3 linked regions of the Anolis sagrei genome follow. The protein of the gene in region 1 purifies or fractionates together with the protein of each later gene. This does not show direct contact. Links are inferred from orthologs where the notes say so. Each region holds a gene or a part of one and is shown on either strand. Other genes may lie near its edges. The genes, in order: DDX20, GEMIN2 and STRAP.

Region 1 (8,092 bases):
GAAGCAGACATATTATACTTATACAACAAAAACATCTAACCTTCTTAAACCATAACAAATTTATTAAACCCCCTGTTTCAGCAGCTTCACCGGCTGACAGTCTGTTTCCGGGCACAATTCAAAATGCTGTTTATGACCTTTAAAGCCTGAGACGTTTCAGGTACAGGCTATTTGGCTGACCACATCCCCTTGTACAAGCCTGCCCTGCCTTGAGATGTTTAGGAGAGGTCCCTCTCTCGGCCCCACCTCCATCTCAAGCTTGGTTGGTGGGAACATGTGGCTGCTCCACGACTCTGGAACTCCTTGCCCAGGGAAGCCAGAATGGCCCACTCCCTGCTGCTCTTCTGGCAGCAGGTTAAAACCTTTTTATTCAGACAGGCTTTTAAAGAGGCTGCTGTGGTTTTTAACTTTGAATATGTTCTAATGGATTTTAACTGTGAATTTTTAATACTGTTAGGTTTAATTCTGTTTAAATGTTTGCATATTTGTATATTTTAATTGTATGTTAATGCTTTTATGTTAAACTGCTTTGAGTCTCCTTCAGGAGAGATAAAGCAGGGTATCAATAAATATAATAACAACAAGAACAACAATAAAGATAATAATAGGTTAAGTTGTCATTACAGCAGAAGTACTGTGACTAGGACTCAGGGGTGTGTATATTTGCCATTAAGTTACCAGTTGACTTTTGGCTAAGTCATGGAGAATGACAGATTATGGGAGCTACAGTTCAAAAACATGATGGGGACCCTTTGGGAAACCCCAACACTTGAATAACCATAGATGCATTTAAAACTATAGAACTGATGCAGTCTAACGCTTCAACTGGCATGGCTCAATGTCTTCTCCACCAAACCACTCTCCTGATTCCATAGCACTAAGCCATAGCAGTTAAAGTGGTTGTCAAAGTGCATTAATTCTATAGTGTAGATGCATCCCATGTGTTTGGCAACCTCCAAAAGCTAAATAAAACCACCAATCCCACTAAGCTTCATTCCTCTGAAATGTCCTTTTCTGCAATACAAAAGTTCATGTCTTGATCTCGTTTCTGACAGTAAATGAAGAATCCATTCAATTTAGAAATTAATTACAATTTAAACTTTTCTTAAATTTTAATTTTATTTTGTTACAAATGAAGCAACCAGAGCCTTAACGAGAAGACTTCTTAAGGTTGCTATAAGTTTTTTGGGTGTATGGCCATGTTTCTGAAGCATTATTTCCTGACATTCTGCCTGCATCTATGGCAGGCATAATGTCAGGAGAGAATGCTTCTGGAACATGGCCATACAGCCGAAAATCAACCCAGTGATTCTGGGTAGGAAAGCCTTTGACAAGACTTCTTGAGTTTCCCCAGTCTGAGCAGAAAAAAAATAGCAAAGCACAGACAAGAGAGTAGGGAGGACCTGCTCTCAATCCCACCGACATCGCAAACGCAACTGGTGAGGATGAGGGACAGAGCCTTCTCAGCAGTGGCCCCCTGCCTGTGGAAAGCTCTCCCCAGAGATATCAGAGTGGCCACATCCCTTTTGTCTGTTAGAAGGAAAATCAAGACCTGGCTATAGGACCAAGCGGTTGATCAGTGAGCAACAAGTAAAAGGAGATTTTAACACTTACGGCAATGATTTGACCCAGACTGGATTTTGGACTCCAATTTTTAATAGGCGTGTGTTAATTAATTGTTTTAACTAATGTTTTTCATATTTTTCAATATGTTTAATGTACTGTTGATTGTTTTATGATGATGACACCATATGATGCTTTGTGAAGCCGCCCTCGGAAGGGTGGGATATAAATATAGGAAATAAATAAATAATAAATAAGACGCAAAAAACCCCAAAACAAACTAAGGACGCACCTCTTCTACACTGTAGACTTAAAGCAGTTTGTCACCATTTAACTACCATGGCTCAATACTATGGAATCTATATAAATAAAAATGTAATGTTCATTTGTGGGATTAACAGAACTCAAAAACCACTGGACGAATTGACACCAAATTTGGACACAAGACACCTAACAACCCAATGTATGCCCTTCACTCAAAAAAAATAATTTTGTCATTTGGGAGTTGTAGTTGCTGGGATTTATCGTCACCTACAATCAAAGAGCATTCTGAACCCCACCAACGATGGAATTGAACCAAATTCGGCAAACAGAACTCCCATGACCAACAGAAAATACTGGAAGGGTTTGGTGGGCAGTGTCCTTTGGTTTTGGAGTTGTCGTTCACCTACATCCAGAGAGCACTGTGGACTCAAACAATGATGAATCTGGATCAAACTCCACACAAATACTCAATATGCCCAAATATGAACACTGGTGAACTTTGGGGAAAATAGAATCTTGACATTTGGGAGTTGTAGTTGCTGGGATTAATAGTTCACCTACAATCACAGAGCATTCTGAACCCCACCAACGACAGAATTGGGCCAAACCTCCCACACAGAATCCCCATGTGGGCCACAGCAACGCGTGGCAGGGGACGGCTAGTCATGAATATTTTCGTTTTACATGGTCTTTAGCTCCCTATGCCAACAAAAATGCTGGTGCCTCGCCAAACTACAACTCCCTGGACCCCATAGCACTAAGCCATGGCTGTGATGCCAAACTGCATTGAATCTAGTCTAGATCAGGTATGGGCAAGCTTTGGCCCTCCAGGTGTTTTGGACTTCAACTCCCACAATTCCTAACAGCCTACCGGCTGTTAGGAATTGTGGGAGTTGAAGTCCAAAACACCTGGAGGGCCAAAGCTTGCCTATACCTGATCTAAATGCAGCCTAAGAGCCACAACGTCCTCCCCTCACCTAAACCACATCTCCCGAGAGGGATGGCTTTCAGCTGCACGGGAGAAGGCCTCAGAAACCCGGCAGCCTTCAGTCCTTCCAGCACCAGCGGGGACAGCAGCAGCGAGCTGAAGTCTTCGGGCCCTTCTTGCAAGTGAACGTCCCGGGTACGAAGCCAGCCCTCAGCGTGAGATGCTTCCACAGCCGCCATCTTGGACAGAATGCTGCCGCAAATCTCGCGAGAAGTCCGGACTAGAATGAGAGCAGGTTCTCCCCACCTCTGCATCGTCCCGCGCGGCGAACGCCAGCGAATGAGAACAAACCATTTGAGAGAGGAGGGGTGGAAGGAGGAGGAATAGCACTTTGGCGCCCAAAGGGAGGGGAGGGAGTAAACGATGGAGCCTGATTGGACAAAGATTCAGAAGGTGGGAGAAACCATTGGGCAAGCTGAAGGGGAGGGGCGTAGTTCAATCTCGTTCAAACTTGGGCTTACTGAACTGCACAGTTGAGAGAATAGGAAGCATGTGTCATAATAGCTTATTGTTATCTGTATATTTATCATCCTTGGGGCTGTAATCCTGACAGATACTGTGCAAAGTCTCTAGTAATCCGTGACATTTCCTTTTTGAATGAATGACGCACATACGAGGGTTGACTGAAAAGTAAAGCCTCCACCTTCATTACTTGGGTTTGGAGGGGAATATTTTAATAAATCAAACACAGAAAAAATTAACAAAATCTGGCTACCAGTATTTTAAAAACCCTCTAAAATTACAACAGCAAAACAACAGAGAGGAAACAATCTGGGACCTCTAATCACCTCTCAACAAAAGATTGCCCCAGGCACAGTCAGACCATTGTATGCTAATCAAGGTGGTCAGTTGAAACATTCACTGTCCCACCCTGGTCATTCCACAGATATATAAACCCTTTTTCCTAGTTCCAACAGACCTCTGAGGATGCTTGCCATAGATGCAGGCAAAATGTCAGGAGAGAATGCCTCTAGAATATGGCCATATAGCCCGAAAAAACCTACAACAACCCAGTGATTCTCGCCATGAAAGCTTTCGAAAATACAGAAATAATCCTTAGAATGTGCTCTTTAACTACCACTATTCACTTTTCCACATAATCACCAGACAATTGGATACATTTCTGCCAACGATGAACAAGTTTTCTGAAGCCGTCACAGAAGAAGTCGACACTCTGTTTGCGCAACCAGCGCCTCACAGTTCTCTCAATGTCTTCATCAGAAGCATAATGATGTTCCTGCAGATCTTTCATTATCGGGAACAGGATAGAAGTCAGACAGGGCTAAATCTGGACTGGGTTGTTGTAGGTTTTTTCGGGCTATATGGCCATGTTCTAGAGGCATTCTCTCCTGACGTTTCGCCTCAGAGGTAGTGAGGTCTGTTGGAACTAGGAAAAAGGGTTTATATATCTGTGGAATGACCAGGGTGGGACAAAGGACTTTTCTCTGCTGGAGCTTGTCCCACCCTGGTCATTCCACAGATATATAAACCCAGTTTTCCTAGTTCCACCAGATTTATGCTTGCCATAGATGCAGGCGAAACATCAGGAGAGAATGCCTCTAGAACATGGCCATATAGCCCGAAAAAACCTACAACAACCCATTGATTCTGGCCATGAAAACCTTCGACAATACATTAAATCTGGACTGTGTGGAGGATGCCATACGGTGGTGAGATCCAGCCTCTGAAGTTTCGAGTCTGTGCATTTTCATTTCAGGCATCAGCATTCTGGGTACCCATCGTGCACAGATTTTTCAATAGCCAAGCAAAGCAATAATGTGACCCACACGTTCTTGTGAATTCCGATTATGCTTGAAATTTCTCTCTGAGTTATACAACGATCATCCTGAATCAATCTGTCAACCATTTGCTTGTGAAACTCAATGGTTGCTGTCACAGGACGTCCAGCTCTTTGTTTGTCACGCAAGTCAGATTTTCCCACCTCATTACCTTTAAACTTTCTCGCCCAATGATGCACAGTACTCACATCAACACAATCACCATAAACAGCTTGCATTATTTGATGAATCTCCTTTGGGGTGACACTTTCTGCTGTCAAGAATTCAATGACTACACATTGCTTAAGTCGCATTGACCGACCATCTGCGCAGGGTTCCATTCTTCACACTTTAATAACACAACTGTTCAATGTTAAGGCTTCCCACCAAAATGGAACTGTCAAGGAGAGCCTAATGAACAAGCCAGTACCTGCCGCATACCAGTACTGCCATCTGTTGAGTTGCGAAGGTGGAGGCATTATATTTCATTGAACCCTCGTATATCTAATTGTGTGCGGGGGGAGGGGGGTGGTATTTGTTTCTAAATTATTAGCTGCCTTGAGTTCCTATAATGATGATGATGATGATGATGATGATGATAGTAATAATGGTGAATTAGAACAACACATCTATTTGGAATAAATCCATGGATATAAATCTTTCAATTCTTCTACACTGTAGAATCAATGCGGTTTTGGCACCACCAACTGCCAAGGCTCAATGCTATGGAATCAAGGGAGTTGTAGTTTGACAAGGTCTTTAACCTTCTCCTCCCCAAATTACAATTCCCAGGATTCCATAGCACTGACCCATGTCTGTTTAAAGTGGTGTCAAATTGCATCAATTCCACACTGTGGGTGGACCCCTTGTCTTCAAATAGGAATCTATAGGAATGGAATGGGCGTCCTCAAGCAAATCTTTGTCCTCTTTCTATGGCTCCTTCCACACATCTGAATTAAAATCCCACATTACCTGCTTTGAACTTGGATATATGGCAATGTGGACTCAGACAATCCAGTTCAAAGCAGATATTGTGGGTTATTCTGCCTTAATATTCTGGGTTATATGGCTGTGTGGAAAGGCACTATGTTGATTGTCCTTTTTATTATGTTCTAGGCTAGTTTGAGAACAGTTTCCAAAAAGGAGCATTTCCAAAAAGAAATAACATTCTGATTATATTGCTGGGGGGGGGGTTAAAATTTGTTGTGATATGGTAATTTGAAATAGTGGTCAGCAGTATTCTTTAGTTAAATTCTATATTAGACTCATAGAGTTAGAAAAGACCGTATGGGCCATCCACCTTAACTCCTGCCATGCAGGAAAAGCACAATCAAAGTACGCCTGACAGATGGCCATCCAGTCTCTCTTTAAAAGTTTGCAAGGACGGAGCTTCCACCACACTCCAAAACAGTTCCACTGCTGAACAGCTCTCACAGTCATGAAATTCCTCTTAATTTTCCAGTGGAATCTCCTTTCCTCTAATTTTAACCCATTGCTCCATGTTCTGAGACTACACTGCCATATATTCCAGTTCAAAGCAGGAAATGTGGGATATTATTCAGCTGTGTGGGATATTATTCAGCTGTGTCTCCAGAGCAGCAGAAAACAAGTCTCCTCCCACTTCCTTATGACATCCTTTCACATGTTTATACATGACTATCATGTCTCCTCTCAAACTTCTCTTCTGCAGGCGAAAAATACTCATCTATTTAAGGCACTCCTCATATGGCATTGCCCTCCTCTGGAGACCTCACAAGGTTTTCATTTTGAATTGCTATTCTTAGCAAATGATACTTATTAGTTACTGGTTAAAATAAATTCACATAACAAGTTTAGTTGTTGGGTTGCTGTGAGTTTTCCGGGCTGTTAATAGATATTGGAAATACTGATTCTCGCCAGAAGAGGGTGCAATCTGCATATAGGATACATCTTTTATACAGTATTGATGTTTGATGTGCAGGGAGAGTATAATTCAAAATAGTTGCTCGGCATCAAAAATAATCCCACTTCTTATTAATGAGAAGGAGTAACAAATTAACCAAGCGCATGTGAAGGCATACAAAATCAGGTGTGGTGATCGAACATTTGGAAATAAGCCACATGAATGTTGCAAGAGCAGTAGCTCAAGGAACATGCGTTATATTTCTTATGGGTAAGAATTTAGATTAACTAGTATATTTGGTTAGTCTTTGAACTATTTTATCACAACATGAAGACATCTCAGGAAATCTCATTCTTGTGTTATGGGCCTGACTCATTTTCATTTCCGGATCTACACAATCAATATATGACCTGTGTCGACCCATATAATACAGTTAAGGGCAGTTCAAACTGCATTATATGAATCTATAGTGGCCACATAATGCAATTCAGACTGCATTATTTGGTAGTGTGTATCCAGCCCAAATCATAATTTTAAACTTTTTTTCAGCCATGGTTTGCCAGAAAAGTTACAAAGAATTCAATGACTGTAAAATATAACTCTTTTCAGCTTTAGATGTAACTTTTTGCAGGAGCTCATTGAGACCTGAAAATTACATTCAAGGGTTTTTCCAGGGGAAAAGACTGGAAAAGTCCAATTTAAGACAACCAGGGTTTTGTTTGTTTTTTTAGATTATCTAAAAGTCAAAGTAAAAGCTTCTGACATGTTGGTTATGTCTGGTCCAAACTATTGTACCACATGTGTGTAGCTTGATTCATGTGTATGGACATTTTTCTCCAATTAATTTCTAGGTGTTACATTATATAGTGAAATATAACATGGACTATTGTTTTTCTTTTCTTTCACATTTTATTTCATTAAAACACTTAAACCATTCATCCTCCGTTCATACCTTCATAATGTCCTTCCTCCAATGCTTAAGCCCGTGATGGTGAACCTATGACATGCGTGTCATCATTGACACGCATGGCTATTTTGATGACACGCAGACACATGCGGCCACATACAGAGAAATAGACTTTATAAGAGCCAATCTAATTCCATCTTTCAATTTGTAAAAGGCTTTACAAATTTAACATCTGCACGTTTGAGCATTGTTCACTCCATAACTCAGCATGGATTATACATTTTTCTTATTTAAACTATAAATATTGCAAAATTATGGGGTTTTTTTCTCAAAGTGACACTCCACCCAAGTTATGCTCAGGTTTTTGGCAAATTTTGACACACCAAGCTCAAAAGGTTGCCCATCACTGGCTTAAGCAGAGGATTATCCATGCTATTTTATGAAAATGGTGTGAGGTCCTACTGAACAAGTGTGCATTACCAGGATGAGGAGGGGTTTTTTTCAGTAATGAGCAATTTTTAAATCTTCTGCATAAATTATTTTGCAGGTTTTGGTCCCCACAACAAGTTCAAAGACTTAGAAGGGATTAAACACCCATAAATCTGTTCAGGATTAGTTTTTATTTCAAAATGGGTGCAATTGTTTTTCCCCCCCGCACATAGTGAAATGTAAGCATACTGTTAAGAAGGTTGGTGTAGCTTACTTTTCCC
Region 2 (7,307 bases), on another chromosome or scaffold:
TTTTCATTGCAAACAAGTCTTCCCCAGAGTGGATGGCAATAAACAACATCCATTTTACCTACAGGGAGCAACCTTTTCTTGAAGACTGCTGTGGTAGTTTGGCAAATCCACTGATGATGCTTCCATTGAAGGCTTTGGCAAAATCTACTGACTTCTATGTGTCGCAATCAAGAGGAAGAGAAGAAGAATTCCAAATAACTATTTCAGGCAGGATACCCAAATCCTGAATTTTTAAAGAAAACAAACAATAATATTTTTAATCAGTACCCTTATGAAGCAGTGAGCTTCATTCATTCCTTTTTAGGTAGGAGTCAAGGGTTTTGGATCTTTATGGGATTTTTTAAAATACAAGCATTATGTCAGGGTTTATTTTATTTTAAAAATCAATTTTTGCTAGGTCATCACTGTCCCAACACATGATTCAGGATATGAACTTTTCAGTATGTACATGGTATATGTTTTTTATAAAAAGTAATTTTAGAGCAGGGCTCCAAGACTATTTATTTCTTCTTTATACAGGCTGAGAAATCACACTGTTCAAAACATCCCGCATGGGCATACAGGATCAACTCTAGTCCTGCTCTTCCAATATCTTGTTTCTCACTAACTTCATGTCAATGTTCATTCAGATATTTGTCACTGAAATTAATATTTATCCCCTTAGTCCCTATTTACCCCTACCACCTTTCAGTATTCATTTATCCTTCTAGAATGACTGGATTTCTACTATAGAGACGTACTGTATGTTTTTAAACTTTGGGCAAATCCGAATTGAGTGCACATTTAGGTCATTACAAGCTGTACCTTACAGATCATGGGTTTTATTCTGTAATTAACTTGTTTATTTTAGTCTTATCTTCAAAAGCATTGGCAGTGCATCAATTATGCTGCCACCAATACGTCAAAGCCTGCTGATTTTATGCATCAAGTTCACATTTTCTTGAAAGTGTAGAACTAACCCAAAAATGTTTTGTAGTCATGTAAGAATGAATTTTGTGGTTAAGCTTGGAAAATGCAATTGTAATTATTAGGCAGGCTTGAACACAGCTGGAGCTGCATGTTCGGTTCATTCCTCCCCCAGTAACAAATTTAGGCCAGATACCATTATAATCAAGGATATTCAAACCAGTTTCTCATGCTAGTTAGGAATTATGCAATGCAAAATATGGTCTCGCTGTGTCGGTGAAAGTGCTTTATTCTGTTTAGTATATTTAGTGATGAGTAGGAAAAAAACTCCCAATATTATCTCTCTTTAAGAAAGTCTTGTTCTAGATCTGCAGTACAGCGATGATACTTGATTTTGTGTTTTGAATGTGAACTCTTATTTTTATTGCGGTGCATAGCTTAACATTTCCCTGTAAAGATGAAAGTCTGTTGAATAGTATTACTAATGTTGAGGCTTTCCAAAACTGAACAGGCATGAAGAACACTAATGTGTATATATCTGTTATTTTTATAAAGTTTTTAAAATAAATTGTGAAGCAGTGGTACACATGTTTCTAAATTAGACCCAAATAAACAATTATTTACACAATCTCTGTTATGTAGGCATATCTATGTGTGGTGAAATAACTGAAATAAGTCTCAGGGAAGGGGTCCTTTATAAAATACTGAAATTCAGTTGTTTTTATGAATTGCTACTGGTTTTTATGTAGCTTCTAAATATTCCACAGAGGTAAGAACCAAAGAAATGGCTTAAATAAATAATTATATGAGATGCAGGTCAAATTGAACTCAGATTTTCGTCCAGGGTAAATATAAGTGTTTTATAGTGTAAAATGATTCAAAAAGAAATCTTCCCCCCAGTGTTCTGTACCAATTTCACTTTTTAACTGGAGTAGGCTACTTTACCATTTTTGTGGAATACTTCATTTTAAGAAAGATAAAAGTGATCGTTTTCAGATCATGATTATTAAGGTTAAAGGTCTTCCCTGACATTAAGTCCAGTCGTGTCCGACTCTGGGGATTGCTGCTCATCGCCATTTCTAAGCCGAAGAGCCTGTGTATTCCGTAGACACCTCCAAGGTCATGTGGCCAGAATGACTGCATGGAGCGTCGTTACCTTCCCGCCGGAGCGGTACCTATTGATCTACTCACATTTGCATGTTTTTGAACTGCTAGATTGGCAGAAACTGGGGCTAACCAGGAGCTCAAGCCGCTCCCCGGATTCGAACCTGCAACCTTTCCGTCAGCAAGTTTAGCAGCTCAGTGGTTTAACCCACTGCGCTACCAAGGGCTCCTTCGTGTTTGTTAGTACGCTGTTTTAAGCTACATTGGGGTAGAATCATTGCTACTGGGATACTTTTGGGGAACTGCATAATAATACGAGTGAAATCTGAAAATGGGATGTAGCTACACCTGCACTTTTGTTCTGAGAATTTGAAAATATATTGTAGGTGAAAGGTGGCTAATTTCTGCTTGTCCAGGGCCCATTTTTTCTAGTCAGCCAATGGCACAAAAAGGCCAGAAGGGATATGGCTTAAGCAGGGGAAAATGCAGTATTTCATATACTTTAATAATAATAATAATAATAATAATAATAATACTTAGGCCACCCTCTCCCTGAAGGAACTCAGGCCACTTTACCTACAAAAAAGGCAAACATCCTATACCTCAAGTAAGTACCAACAATATACAACAATATCAAATATAATTCAGGTCAAAATATATTTAAATTTAAAAATTTTATCATTAAGAGAGACAACCCACAATTATAGAATGAAAGAGTTGGACGAGACCTCATGGGCCATCCAGGCCAAGAAGCAGGAATATTGCATTCAAAGCACCCCTGACAGATGGCCATCCAGCCTCTGTTTAAAAGCTTCCAATGAAGGAGCCTCCACCACACTCCGGGGCAGAGAGTTCCACTGCTGAACGGCTCTCACAGTCAGGAAGTTCTTCCTCATGTTCAGATGGAATCTCCTTTCTTGTAGTTTGAAGCCATTGTTCCGCGTCCAGGGAAACGGAAAACAAGCTTGCTCCCTCCTCCCTGTGGCTTCCTCTCACATATTTATACATGGCTATCATATCTCTTCTCAGCCTTCTCTTCTTCAGTCTAAACATGCCCAGCTCCTTAAGCCGCTCCTCATAGGGTTTGTTCTCCACACCCTTGATCATTTTAGTCACCCTCCTCTGGACACATTCCAGCTTGTCAATATGTCTCTTGAATTGTGGTGCCCAGAATTGGACACAGTATTCCAGGTGTGGTCTAACCAAAGCGGAATAGAGGGGTAGCATTACTTCCCTAGATCTAGACTAGACACTATGCTTCTATTGATGCAGGCCAAAATCCCATTGGCTTTTTTTGCCGCCACATCACATTGTTGGCTCATGTTTAACTTGTAGTTTGATGGGGCACCAGAACTTCCTGATGGAAGACGACTAAATAGCTCTCAGAACTACAATATGTTTTAGTATTAATTGAAAACCCACATAATTATTTTTGAAAGGCAGAATTCAGAACATCCTTATAGGTTGAATATCCCTTATCTGAAATGCTTGAGACCTGGTATGTTCGGGATTTTGGTTTTTTTTATTTTATTTTGGGGATATTTTTCTACAGACGAGATCTTGGAGATTTATGGATGTTTCACATACACCTTATACATGTAACCTGAAGGAAATTTTATACACAGTCTTTAGAAGGCAAAAATGTCACTATTTTAGCCAGCTTTGTAAGCATTTTTTTAGTTTTGGAGCATTTGGGATTTCCAGAAAAGGGCTATTCAATCTGTGCTAGATAAATATGTAGTATTTGTACTGACATGTTTTACAAATTTCTGAAAAATTATGTACTACATAATTTTGTGTGGTGGGGGCTCCTTCTTTGGAAGCTTTTAAGCAGAGGCTGGATGGCCATCTGTCAGGGGTGATTTGAATGCAATATTCCTTCTTCTTGGCAGGGGGTTGGACTGGATGACCCATGAGATCTCTTCCAACTCTTTGATTCTATGATTCTAAAGCACTATTCCATCAAAATATATTCATTTATTTTATTGCACTTATATACCCCCTAAAGTGTAAACAATAAAATGTTCAGAAATGAGATTACTACGTTATTCCCTACCTCAGCCATTTATTTAATTCCTTCAGAGTATTTCTGCCACTAAACCCTCAGTTGTAGGACGGAGTGGAGAGGAGGAAAGCAGCTAAATGGCTGTCACAACATCCTCTCCCTGTGGCAGCCGTAAAGCACCAAGAGAACGCTTTTCAGCCTTGTCGCGCGGAGTGGCTGTGTGCGCATGCGCATTCGGTTTGCCTGACGGCGGAGTGTGTAGGATAAGCCCCAGACTCCAGAGCGGCCTGAGGGAGGAAGAGCTTTGGCAGCAGCAACAATAATAACAAGGGAGACTGTGCTTCAGGGGCTGCCATGGAGTCTGGGGTGGAGGAACTGATGCCTCGGCTCCTTCCAGTGGGGGACTGCGATCTCACGGAGGATTTCGACCCCACAGTGCCCCCCAGGACGCCCCAGGAGTACTTAAAGCGGGTCCAGTAAGTGGGGCGCCTAGGCCGCCGAGACAGTTAGACATGGGCAAACTTGGGCCTTCCAGGTGTTTTGGACTTCAACTCCCACCATTCCTAACAGCCTCAGGCCCTTTCCTTAAGCGGCTGAGGGGGGAAAGGAAAGGACCTGAGGCTGTTAGGAATGGTGGGAGTTGAAGTCCAAAACACCTGGAAGGCCCAAGTTTGCCCATGCCTACTTATAGCAGTTTGACATGGCTTTAACTCCCATGACTCCATGCTGTAGATTTGTAGTTTGATTAGGCACCAGAGCTTCCTGTTGGAAGACGGCTAAATAGCTCGCAGAACTACAAATCCCAGAATTCTTGCGCACTTTCAGCATTGGTTGCTTGTGACCAGGTTACATGAAAAACAGCACCTGCTAAATTGCTCTCTTTCCCCCAAAGAAGTCATTACCCATTTTTAATTTGGCAACTCTTATCATTGCTGTAAAAGTCAACAAGTCAACTGCGATTTAAGGCAACCCTGTGAATGAGAGATCTCCAAAGGGACAGCTACACAGCATAATTGAAACAGTTTGATACCAGCCCCAATGGTGCAGTGGGTTAGAGCACTGAGCTGCTGAACTTGTTGACCAAAAGGTTGCAGGTTCAAATCCGGGGAGTGGCGTGAGCACCTGCTGTTAGCCCCAGCTTCTGCCAACCTAGCAGTTTGAAAACATGCAAAATGTGAGTAGATCAATAGGTACTGCTCTGGTGGGAAGGTAACGGCTCCTTGCAGTCATGCCAGCCACATGGCCTGTGAGGTGTTTACGGACAACGCCGGCTATTTGGCTTAGAAATGGATATGAGCACCACACCCCAGAGTCAGACACAACTGGATTTAATGTCAGGGAAAAACCTTTACCTATCTTTACTTGATACTGCTTTAAATGTCATGACAATGTTATGGAACCCATGGGAGTTGTAGTTTGGTCTTTAGCAGATAAGGCTAAATACCTTGTGAAGGTGCAGTTTCCATGATTCCATAGCATGAAGCCAACATAATTCTGGTGGTATCAAACTGCATTGATTCTGCAGTGCAGATGCTCCCCAAGCCACCCTGTTATCGGCAGCTCTGCTTAGGTCTTGCAGATTCAAGTTCATGGCTTCTTTAATTGAGTCTGTCCATCTGTCCTAATTAAATATGCATTATTCACCTTCAGACTTTCCTTTCATCTCTTGATATGTCAACAATTCAATGTCAGTTCTTAAGATGGCTAATGGGACTTCAGCTAGAGCAGTGGTTCTCATCCTGTTAAGTCTTCTGGTGTTTTGGCCTACAACTCCCAGAAATCCCAGCTGGTTTATCAGCTGTTAGGATATCTGGAGTTGAAGGCCAAAGCATCTGGGGACCCACAGATTGAGGACCACTGAGATAGAGGGAATAATGAATAGTTGAGTTTCGTTCTGTCAGCATCTGTCAATTTCAAGGAATTTCCTGATTTTGCTCTCCTAATAATCTGTAGTGTGCTTCTTTTTAGGATGGATATGTACATGTGCTCTTCCCTTATGAACCAATTGGCTAGAAACAAAAATGAAAAAAACAGTCAAGAAGACACATGGCTCCTTAAAAACAAAAGTGTTACATTTCACATAATCTTTTGTGAAGAAGAGCAACCCATTTCATTGGATGCATCTGTAATCCACAAAAGTTTATGCCAAATAAATTGTGTTAATAATAATTAAGGTGTCATGGCACTTTGTTATTTTGCTTTGTGTTATATATTTTTCCCCACATCACTATCTTGCGCATGGCTGTAGTTGATGGATCTTAGAGTTCTAACAGAAAGCAAAATACATCCTTCATGCTTGACATCTTCCTGTCCTGAAAACTTTACCTCACCAAGCAGTATGCAAAGTTGTAATTAAAACCAATGAAAAATGAAGGTTTAAATAAATAAATACATATTCATTCTGAAAGTGGGAAGAAGGAAACGTATTCACCAGTTTTGTCTCTTTGATTTGGGAATTTAACATCTTGTTTTGTTTTCAAGGATAGAAGAATGTTAAGAGCTAGAATTTAAAGAATAGGTTGACCTGAACATCTAAAAATCAGACCTTTGAAAGTACTTACCAATGCAATGAGCTGGCATACAATTTTTAAGAGATGACACTTTTCTTACTATGGAAAGAACTATGAGGAAAGTAGCACTTGATTGATTTCTTATCAGTCTTTTTTAAAAACCTATGAAGTCAGAGAGTGTATGTTGGAATGGTTCTGAAGATATTCAGTGATATATTATTTATTTCTCATGGTCCATTACGTGTTTCGATTAAAAATGTCATTTTTCCAAAGTGTTTTCACTACTGTATCTTCTCTGTGATACCTAGCAAAAAAAATTGTGGGAAAAGAGTAGTCAAGATTCTGATGATATTCATGAGTAGTTATAGTAGGTGACAGTAGAGGGATTCCTGTATAATACATATGCTATACTTCTCTTGAAATTACTAAGTATTTCAAATTTCAGACATCTGTTCTTCTTTTGTAGAATTGAAGCTGCAAATTGTCCTGATGTTGTTGTGGCCCAAATAGATCCCAAGAAGTTGAAAAAGAAACAGACTGTAAATATTTCAGTAAGTTGTTTTTAAAAGAAAAGAATTAATAAGCTTCTCAATGGAGCTACTTCATTAGTGAGAAGCTTCTGAATGTGCTTATAGTCATTTTTAACATCAGACAGTTTCAGGGTGTGTTCACCTGACCCCATCTGTTTAGTTTCTAAAATACTTTTGAAGGACTGTACGTATACTTTGCACAATTCAAATGGAATGAGTCTAGATTTGCAGAATCAAGTCTGAAAATGCAAT
Region 3 (8,075 bases), on another chromosome or scaffold:
AGGAGAGGCAATGCAGGCAGGGGTGCACTTTCTCTTCTTGCAGCTTTCCAAGTCATTTTTAGGAGGCCCAGGGAAGGAAGAGCGATGACCTGGAGCTATCTAACTGTGACATTTTCAATTTTGCTGCTTTAATCTGCTCTCTTTGGGTGCACAACACTTCTTCCAGTATCCCCCACACCTTGCTTCCGTTGGTTTTTGCAAATTGAGCAGAATTCATTGATGTGAATGACAATTGTATAGAACTCAGGGTATTGATGCACAAGGAACTATTCTTAAATGAGGATATGGCAGAGGTTGTATAATGGGTCAGCTGCCAGCAAAGGTATTGCTATTGTTACAGGATCCTTATAGACATCTACTTCTGATTATAGGTCTGCATAATGTGTGACTGTGCCTAAGCATGTATGCCGCTTTGATTTCAGCAAAACGTGCTTTCAAGTTAATTTCCCCAGGAATGTAGTCACAGACTGATGGTTGCTGCCTCTTGCCAAATGTTTTTGCTAAGGCACATTTATACCAGGGCATGCTTTGGATCTCCAAGTTTTTTGAATCTCAACTACCACAGTTCCTAATAGCCTACCGGCTGTTAGGAATTGTGGAACTTGAAGTCCAAAACACTATGTCGAAGTTTGCCCAGGCCTGGTTTACTCTTTTGACCATTGCTTCTGCTAGTTTGAGATGGTTTGAGCCGCTTTCACTCTTTTGTAGTGCCATCTAGTGCTCAGTCTTATATCTGCAAGCTAGAAACATACTGAGAGTGTCCCATTTTTCAATTGATTCAGTCCGGTCCAGTCCCCAATTCTTCAAATAAGGGCCTCTTTATAGAGGGTTAGACTGGTGAACCTGGCATTATTAAGCATTTAACATTTTTGACAGAATACATAATCAATAGACAGGTTTCTGCCACCTTATGGCCTTCCAGATGTGGTTGCACCTCAATTGAAGATTGACTATGAGTGCATCCCTAGCATTGTGAAAGTTTGACAGCACTTTCACAATGCTAGGGAATCCTGGGAGTTGTAGCTTGGTGAGGCCCCAGCATTCTCTGGCAGAGAAGGCTACGGACCTTTTTAAAACTACAGCTCCCATGATTCCATAGCAGTTGAAGTGTTGCCAAACTGCATTCAATCTACAGTGTAGATCAGGCATGTACAAACTCCGGCCCTCCAGGTGTCTTGGACATCAGTTCTCATAATTCCTAACAACCTACTGTGTACAGCAGTGTTTCTCAACCTGGGGGTTGGGACCACAGGGGGGGTGTTTCAGAGGGGTCGCCAGAGACCATCAGAAAACATTTTGTTTGATGGTCTTAGGAAGCTCTTTGGCAGAGAAGGCAGAAGATCTCTCAGTCTGTCCTTCTCTTCCTTTTTCTTCCCACCAAAAGCCCTCCTCCTGCTGTGATTGGCTGGCTTCTCAGCCAAGGGGAGGGCTGTTTCCGTGACTCCAAGGGGAGAGGGGAGAGCAGGCGTGCTCTCCCTTAAATTATTGTCAATTCCTCCCAAATCCCTCCAGTATTTTCTATTGGTCATGGGGGTTCTGTGTGGGAAGTTTGGCCCATTTCTATCATTGGTAGGGTTCAAGTAGTCTAAACATCCCGTTTAGACTACTGCAACGCTCTCTATGTGGGGTTGCCCTTGAAGACAGCCCGGAAGCTTCAATTGGTCCAACGTGCGGCAGCCATGTTACTAACAGGAGCGGGACGCAGGGAGCATACAACGCCCTTGTTGTACCAGCTCCACTGGCTTCCGATTTGCTACCGGGCTCAATTCAAGGTGCTGGCGTTGGCCTATAAAGCCCTAAACGGTTCCGGCCCAAGATACCTATCTGACCGCATCTCGGCCTACGAGCCCACCAGGACTTTGAGATCATCCGGGGAGGCCCTGCTCTCGATCCCGCCTGGCGGGGACGAGAGACAGGGCCTTCTCGGTGGTGGCTCCTTGGCTGTGGAACACCCTTCCCGTGGACATCAGACTGGCTCCTTCCCTGATGATATTCCGCAGGAAATTAAAAACTTGGCTGTTCAAGAAAGTGTTCGAACAAGAAGTGCAATAATTGGTAATGACGACAGGAATGGAACAACGGAAAATGATACTGGATTGTGGTTTAAACGATGAGACGACATGAATGGCTTTTTGTATTATTGATATTGTTGATGTTTTTGATGATGATGTCTTTGGTTATTGCTAGATTGATATTTTAGATTGCGTCTTGACTTTTAAACCTTGTTCTTTCTATGTTGTACACCGCTGTGAGTCGACCCCAGGCTGAGAACAGCGGTATATAAGCAAAGTAAATAATAATAAATAAATAATAAATAAATAACTGCAACTCCCAAATGACAAAAGCATTATTTTTTGAGTGATGGTCACTCCTTGTGTTGTGAGACATTTTGTTGCCAAATTTGGTGTGATTTCGTTCATTGGTTCTTTTGTTTTTAAGGTACACATTATGCACAGAGCATTTTTTAATATATAGATATTGTAATTGTGTCCTTGGTGGCAATGAATTGCCTTGTAAATCGCCTTGAGTCGCCGGAAGGCTGAGAGGGGCGGTATAGAAATGTACTAAATAAATAAATAAAATAAATAAGTCCAAAGAAACCTGGAAGGACGAAGTGTTCCCGTGCCTGATCTACACTGTAGATTGAATGCAGTTTGGCACCTCGAGTCTTTTTTAAAAAAAGCAAGGCTGCATCTCTCCTCAGATTTTGTTGCCTCAGAAACGACGGAGCGGCCTAACAAGATCCCTACTGTAGACTACTTCAACCAGAGAAGTCAGCCATAGCAGAGCACCTGATGAACCAGCCTGGACACAGCATATTATTTGAGAACACGGAAATGCTGGACCACTCTCACAACCACCATGCCAGGCTACACAGAGAAGCCACTGAAATCCACAAGCATGTGGACAATTTCAGCAGAAAGGAGGAAACCATGAAGATGAACAAAATCTGGCTACCAGTATTAAAAAACTCTAAAATTAGAACAGCACAACAACAGAGAGGAAACAAACAAGGACATCTAATAATCTCTCAGCAAAAGATTGCTCCAGGCACTGCCAGACAAGGCAGTCATAGCTAACGTCTACATGGAACACTTTGAAGAACAAGCCCTGGAAACAGCAACCAAAAAGCCCACGATATGGTTCAGATATGTGGATGACACCTTCACCATTTGGAGCCATGGAGAAAAAGAACTCAACAGGTTCCTGGACCATCTTAACAGCATCCACCCAAACATCCAGTTCACCATGGAAAAAGAAAATGAAGGAAGACTGCCTTTTCTAGATGTCCTAGTCATCCGCAGACCAGATCAACAATTGGGTCACACCGTCTACAGAAAACCCACACACACAGATAGATATCTATATAAAAACTCCAACCATCACCCAAGTCAAAAAAGAAACACCATTAAAGCCTTGGCAGACCGTGCAAAAAAAATCTGCGAACCCCACCTCCTCCAAGATGAACTGAACCACCTCAACTGGGCTCTCCAGGCCAATGGAGACTCCACCTCAGACATCAGAAGAGCTGCAAGACCAAGAACAAGCCACAAGAGTAAAGATGAAGATCCACCCAGAGGAAAAGTGTTCCTGCCATACATCAAGGGAACCACTGATCGCATAGGAAAGCTGATGAGGAAACACAACATACAAACAATCTACAAACCCACCAAGAAAATCCAACAAATGCTACGTTCAGCAAAGGACAAGAGGGATCCTCTCACCTCTGCAGGAGTCTACCGTATACCATGCAGCTGTGGACAAGTCTACATAGGGACCACCAAACGCAGCGCCCAGACATGCATCAAGGAACATGAAAGGCACTGCAGATTACTTCAACCAGAGAAGTCAGCCATAGCAGAGCACCAGATGAACCAGCCTGGACACAGCATATTATTTGAGAACACAGAAATGCTGGACCACTCCAACAACCACCATGTCAGACTACACAGAGAAGCCACTGAAATCCACAAGCATGTGGACAATTTCAACAGAAAGGAAGAAACCATGAAAAGGAACAAAATCTGGCTACCAGTATTAAAAAACTCTAAAATTACTACAGCAAAACAGCAGAGAGGAAACAACCAGGCACATCTTAACACCTCTCAACAGGGTATTTTCCCAGGCTCAGCCAAGACTTCAAATGCTAATGAAGGTGATCAGCTGAAACATTCACACCTAGCTCCAGCAGAGAAGCGCTCTTTGCCCCACCCCAGCCATTCCACAGATATATGTCCTAATTCCAACAGACCTCACTACCTCTGAGGATGCTTGCCATAGATGCAGGCGAAACGTCAGGAGAAAATGCCTCTAGAACATGGCCCTATAGCCCGAAAAAACCCACAAGACCCTAGTGATTCTAGCCATGAGAGGCTGGATGGCCATCTGTCGGGGGTGCTTTATTTATTTATTTATTTATTTATTTGATGCACTTATTAACCGCCATTCTCAGCCCTTACGGGCGACTCATGGCGGTGTACAGTACACATAAAAAGACAGTTACAAAGGCCAGTATCAACAACATATAACTATACGACAAATACAAACTACATAAAAATCCGCTTCGTCTCTTAGTAGAATCATAGCCAGTCTCATCTTCCTTATACCATTCCAGTTCTCATTACCGTAATGTTGTTGCTTAGCACTTAATTAAATGCCCTCTCGAACAGCCAGGTCTTAAGGCTTTTTCGAAAGGACATGAGGGAGGGCGCCTGTCTGATGTGTGCCGGGAGAGTGTTCCACAGCCGGGGGGCCACCACCGAGAAGGCCCTCTCCCTCGTCCCCGCCAATATTCCTCTTTCTAGGCAGGGGGCTGGACTGGATAACCCATGAGGTCTCTTCCAACTCTAGGATTCTATGAAGAGCTTGGCGATGACGTCACTTCCGCTCTGCAGCCCTTTAAGAATAAGCTTTCCATGCCTCTCCCCTCCCGGGACAGGAAACCGGAAGCGGCTCTATGGTTTCCTAGGCGGCGGCGGCGGCTCAGCACTTCCGGCGACGGCCATTTTTCTCCCCTCCTGAGTTCACTTCCGTTGCCGGCGTGCCGTCGTCTCCCTCTCGTCGTCAGCGGCTCGGCCTTTCCCGTGGCTTTGAGGGAGCCAGCGAGGGTCGCCTTCCTCTGCCTCTCTCAGCGGCCTCTTTCCTCCTCCAGACCCCGCCGCTTCCCTTCTTCGTCCACCCTCTGCTTCCCTTCCTTCGGCCGCCATGGCGATGCGACAGACGCCGCTGACGTGCTCGGGCCACACGCGGCCTGTGGTGGACTTGGCCTTCAGCGGCATCACCCCCTACGGCTACTTCCTCATCAGTGCTTGCAAAGGTGAGCCTCCTGGGGGTGTGGGGGAGCTCCTGAAGGCAGTTTGACACCACTTCAACTGCCATGACTCAATAATATAGGATTCTGGGGTTTTGTGGTTTCTCAAGGCTTTTAGTGCTGGTGCCTCACCAAACTACAACTCCCATGACTCCTTAGCGTTGAGCCATGACAGCAAAAATGATGCCAAGTTGTATTCATTCCATGTATTGTCGAAGGCTTTCATGGCTGGAATCACTAGGTTCCTGTGGGTTTTTTCGGGCTATAGGGCCATGTTCTAGAGGCATTTCTCCTGATGTTTCGCCTGCATCTATGGCACGCATCCTCAGAGGTAGTGAGGTCTGTTGGCATTAGGACAATGGTTTATATATCTGTGGAATGGCTGGGGTGGGGCAAAGAGCTCTTCTCTGCTGGAGCTAAGTGTGAATGTTTCAACTGACCACCTTCATTAGCATTTGAAGGCCTGGCTGAGCCTTCATTCATTCCGCTGTATTCATTCATTCTGCTGTATTCTGTATTCATTATGCTGTGTAGATCAGACATGGGCTAACTTGGGTCCTTCGGGTGTTTTGGACTTCAACTCCCACAATTTTTAACAGCTCGCTGTTAGGAATTGTGGGAGTTGAAGTTGAAAACACCCGGAGGGGCCAACGTTTGCCCATGCCTGCCCTAAGTGCTACATAAATAGGAAAACAACAACAATAAGAAAACTTTATTTATACCCCACCACCAAATCCCCAAGGGACTCGGGGTGGCTTACATGAGGCCAAGCTCAACAACACATCAATACAAGAAAGCAATACACAAAAACAATACAATAGTATACAATTAATATAAATAGCATATAAACAATAAGCAATAACACACAAGGATTTAAAAACCTATGGTCGGGCCAAATGCAATAGTTTAAAATTTAAAAAATAAACACTGGGCATGAACAAGGTAAGATATATCTGGTAAGGTGAGGGGAGCGCAATCCAACCCAATCCAATAGTTAAAGTGCAATCTGAGGACATATTGCTGATTCAGTGATTTCAAACTACAATGGTTTCAAACTACAAACAATAAGAACAAGTCAGGAAAATGCAAATTATTATTATTATTATTATTATTATTATTATTTTCTATCCTGCTTTTCTCCCAATTGGGACTCAAACATGTAACAAAAAACATTTCAAAGCATTATTATTATTATTATTGTTATTATTAACTTTATTTGTACCCTGCTAACATCTCCCGAATGACTCGGTGCAGCTTACAAAGGCCAAGGCCCGCTATATCTCTATATATACAGATAGAGATAAAAATAAGCATTATCATCACACCGCAAACATGTCTAATAAAAATATAAATACATAGTAAATAGATAACATGACACAGTTTAAACATTCAAAAAAGTTTTTTAAAAAAAACCACACCTGATATCCATTCCTATGCTGTAGTCAAGTCCATTGCCGGAAGTTCATTAAAATGTATACATTGCACAGATGAATCTGTTGTTTTCAATATCCCTCTCCTTCAGGGAAGATCTGCTTCCATAGAAATTTAGATCCCTAAATGAAAGCAAGGAGGGAGACATTCTAACCTCTTTAGGAAAAGAGTTCCAGAGTCTTGGGTACACCTCTGAAAAGGCCCACTCTCTTGTTCCCACCAATTGCACTTGAGACAGAGGCAGGACCGAGAGCAGGATCTCTCCCGAGAACCTCAGGGCACATGTAGTTTCATAGGAGAAGATGCGGTCAGCTAAGTAAGTTGGGTTCGAACTGTTAAATTGCAGAAAAATTGAACAAAACAACAACTATGGAGGAACCACTTTTTACAGGGTGTATTCCTGCTAACTAATAATAAAAATCGTCATAACAACTTTATTTTTTATATCCTTCCACCATCTCCACAAAGGGAGCGGCTTACTAGTGGGACGAAACCCAACACAACAGGGTTTATCACTAAAAATACATTTAAAACATAATAAACTTAATAATTCAATTAAATATTTAAAAACAACTATGAACTGAATCAAAACAAATGTCACTAACCAGAACCAGGAATAAGATGGGCAGGATCAAAAATTAGCGAGTGCTGGACATGGACTTGTACAAATAGCAGATTATAGGGCCAGGGCTGTGGAAAAGTGCTGAGTTCACTCTAATGGACAATTGAGGCTGGGCGTTCATGGACAGGGGCCTAATCATTCTCAAACACACATTGGAACATCCAGGTTTTAAGGTCTTTACGGAAGGTGGACAGATTGGGTGCCAGTCTAATCTCCTGAGTCCCCTTCCGGGGGTTGAGAAGGGTGGGGCAAAAATGCTGTAAATAAATAAAGCCGGAGGACCACCACCGAGAAGGCCCTCTCCCTCATCCCCACAAACAACAGTGCTGGATTGTTGCTTATAAATCCCCAATTCATTTGCCCCTTTGTCTGCTTAAAATATCTGATATGTCTGGTTAGAAATGAGCCATGGTCATTCATAACTAAGTTACATGTGTTACAACAGCTCTACTCCAGATATGACAACCACTAGTTTTTGCCTATGGTTATGAACAACATGTATAAAATACTTACTTTAATAATAATAATAAGAAGAAGCTTTATTTATATCCCGCCCTCTCTCCCCAAAAGGACTCGTGGCTTATAATAGAAGAAACACAATGTAGTAATAGTAAACATACAATCAAATCAAACTTTCAAAACAATATAATTAAAGCATAAAACACTATTAACATAGTAATAAAATTCAGAAGGGTGTCATCAGTGGACATG

The links.
Region 2: the proteins of DDX20 (region 1) and GEMIN2 purify together in Homo sapiens (affinity purification with mass spectrometry; 6 studies listed by BioGRID and IntAct, counting the BioPlex papers as one, with this or other methods). This does not show direct contact. The link is inferred for Anolis sagrei from reciprocal best matches to the Homo sapiens genes DDX20 and GEMIN2.
Region 3: the proteins of DDX20 (region 1) and STRAP purify together in Homo sapiens (affinity purification with mass spectrometry; 3 studies listed by BioGRID and IntAct, counting the BioPlex papers as one, with this or other methods). This does not show direct contact. The link is inferred for Anolis sagrei from reciprocal best matches to the Homo sapiens genes DDX20 and STRAP.

What each region holds. Positions count from the first base shown.
Region 1 is NC_090024.1:199,508,518-199,516,609, reverse strand, and holds the start of DDX20 (probable ATP-dependent RNA helicase DDX20), read right to left. Parts: upstream 3,085-8,092; 5' UTR 3,070-3,084; coding exon 2,805-3,069; intron 1-2,804.
Region 2 is NC_090021.1:303,554,823-303,562,129, forward strand, and holds the start of GEMIN2 (gem-associated protein 2), read left to right. Parts: upstream 1-4,239; 5' UTR 4,240-4,369; coding exon 4,370-4,491; intron 4,492-6,991; coding exon 6,992-7,076; intron 7,077-7,307. Other genes in the region: PROSER1 (proline and serine-rich protein 1), read left to right, coding at 1-42. UniProt on the Homo sapiens protein: The SMN complex catalyzes the assembly of small nuclear ribonucleoproteins (snRNPs), the building blocks of the spliceosome, and thereby plays an important role in the splicing of cellular pre-mRNAs.
Region 3 is NC_090025.1:181,634,986-181,643,060, forward strand, and holds the start of STRAP (serine-threonine kinase receptor-associated protein), read left to right. Parts: upstream 1-5,003; 5' UTR 5,004-5,205; coding exon 5,206-5,317; intron 5,318-8,075. UniProt on the Homo sapiens protein: The SMN complex catalyzes the assembly of small nuclear ribonucleoproteins (snRNPs), the building blocks of the spliceosome, and thereby plays an important role in the splicing of cellular pre-mRNAs.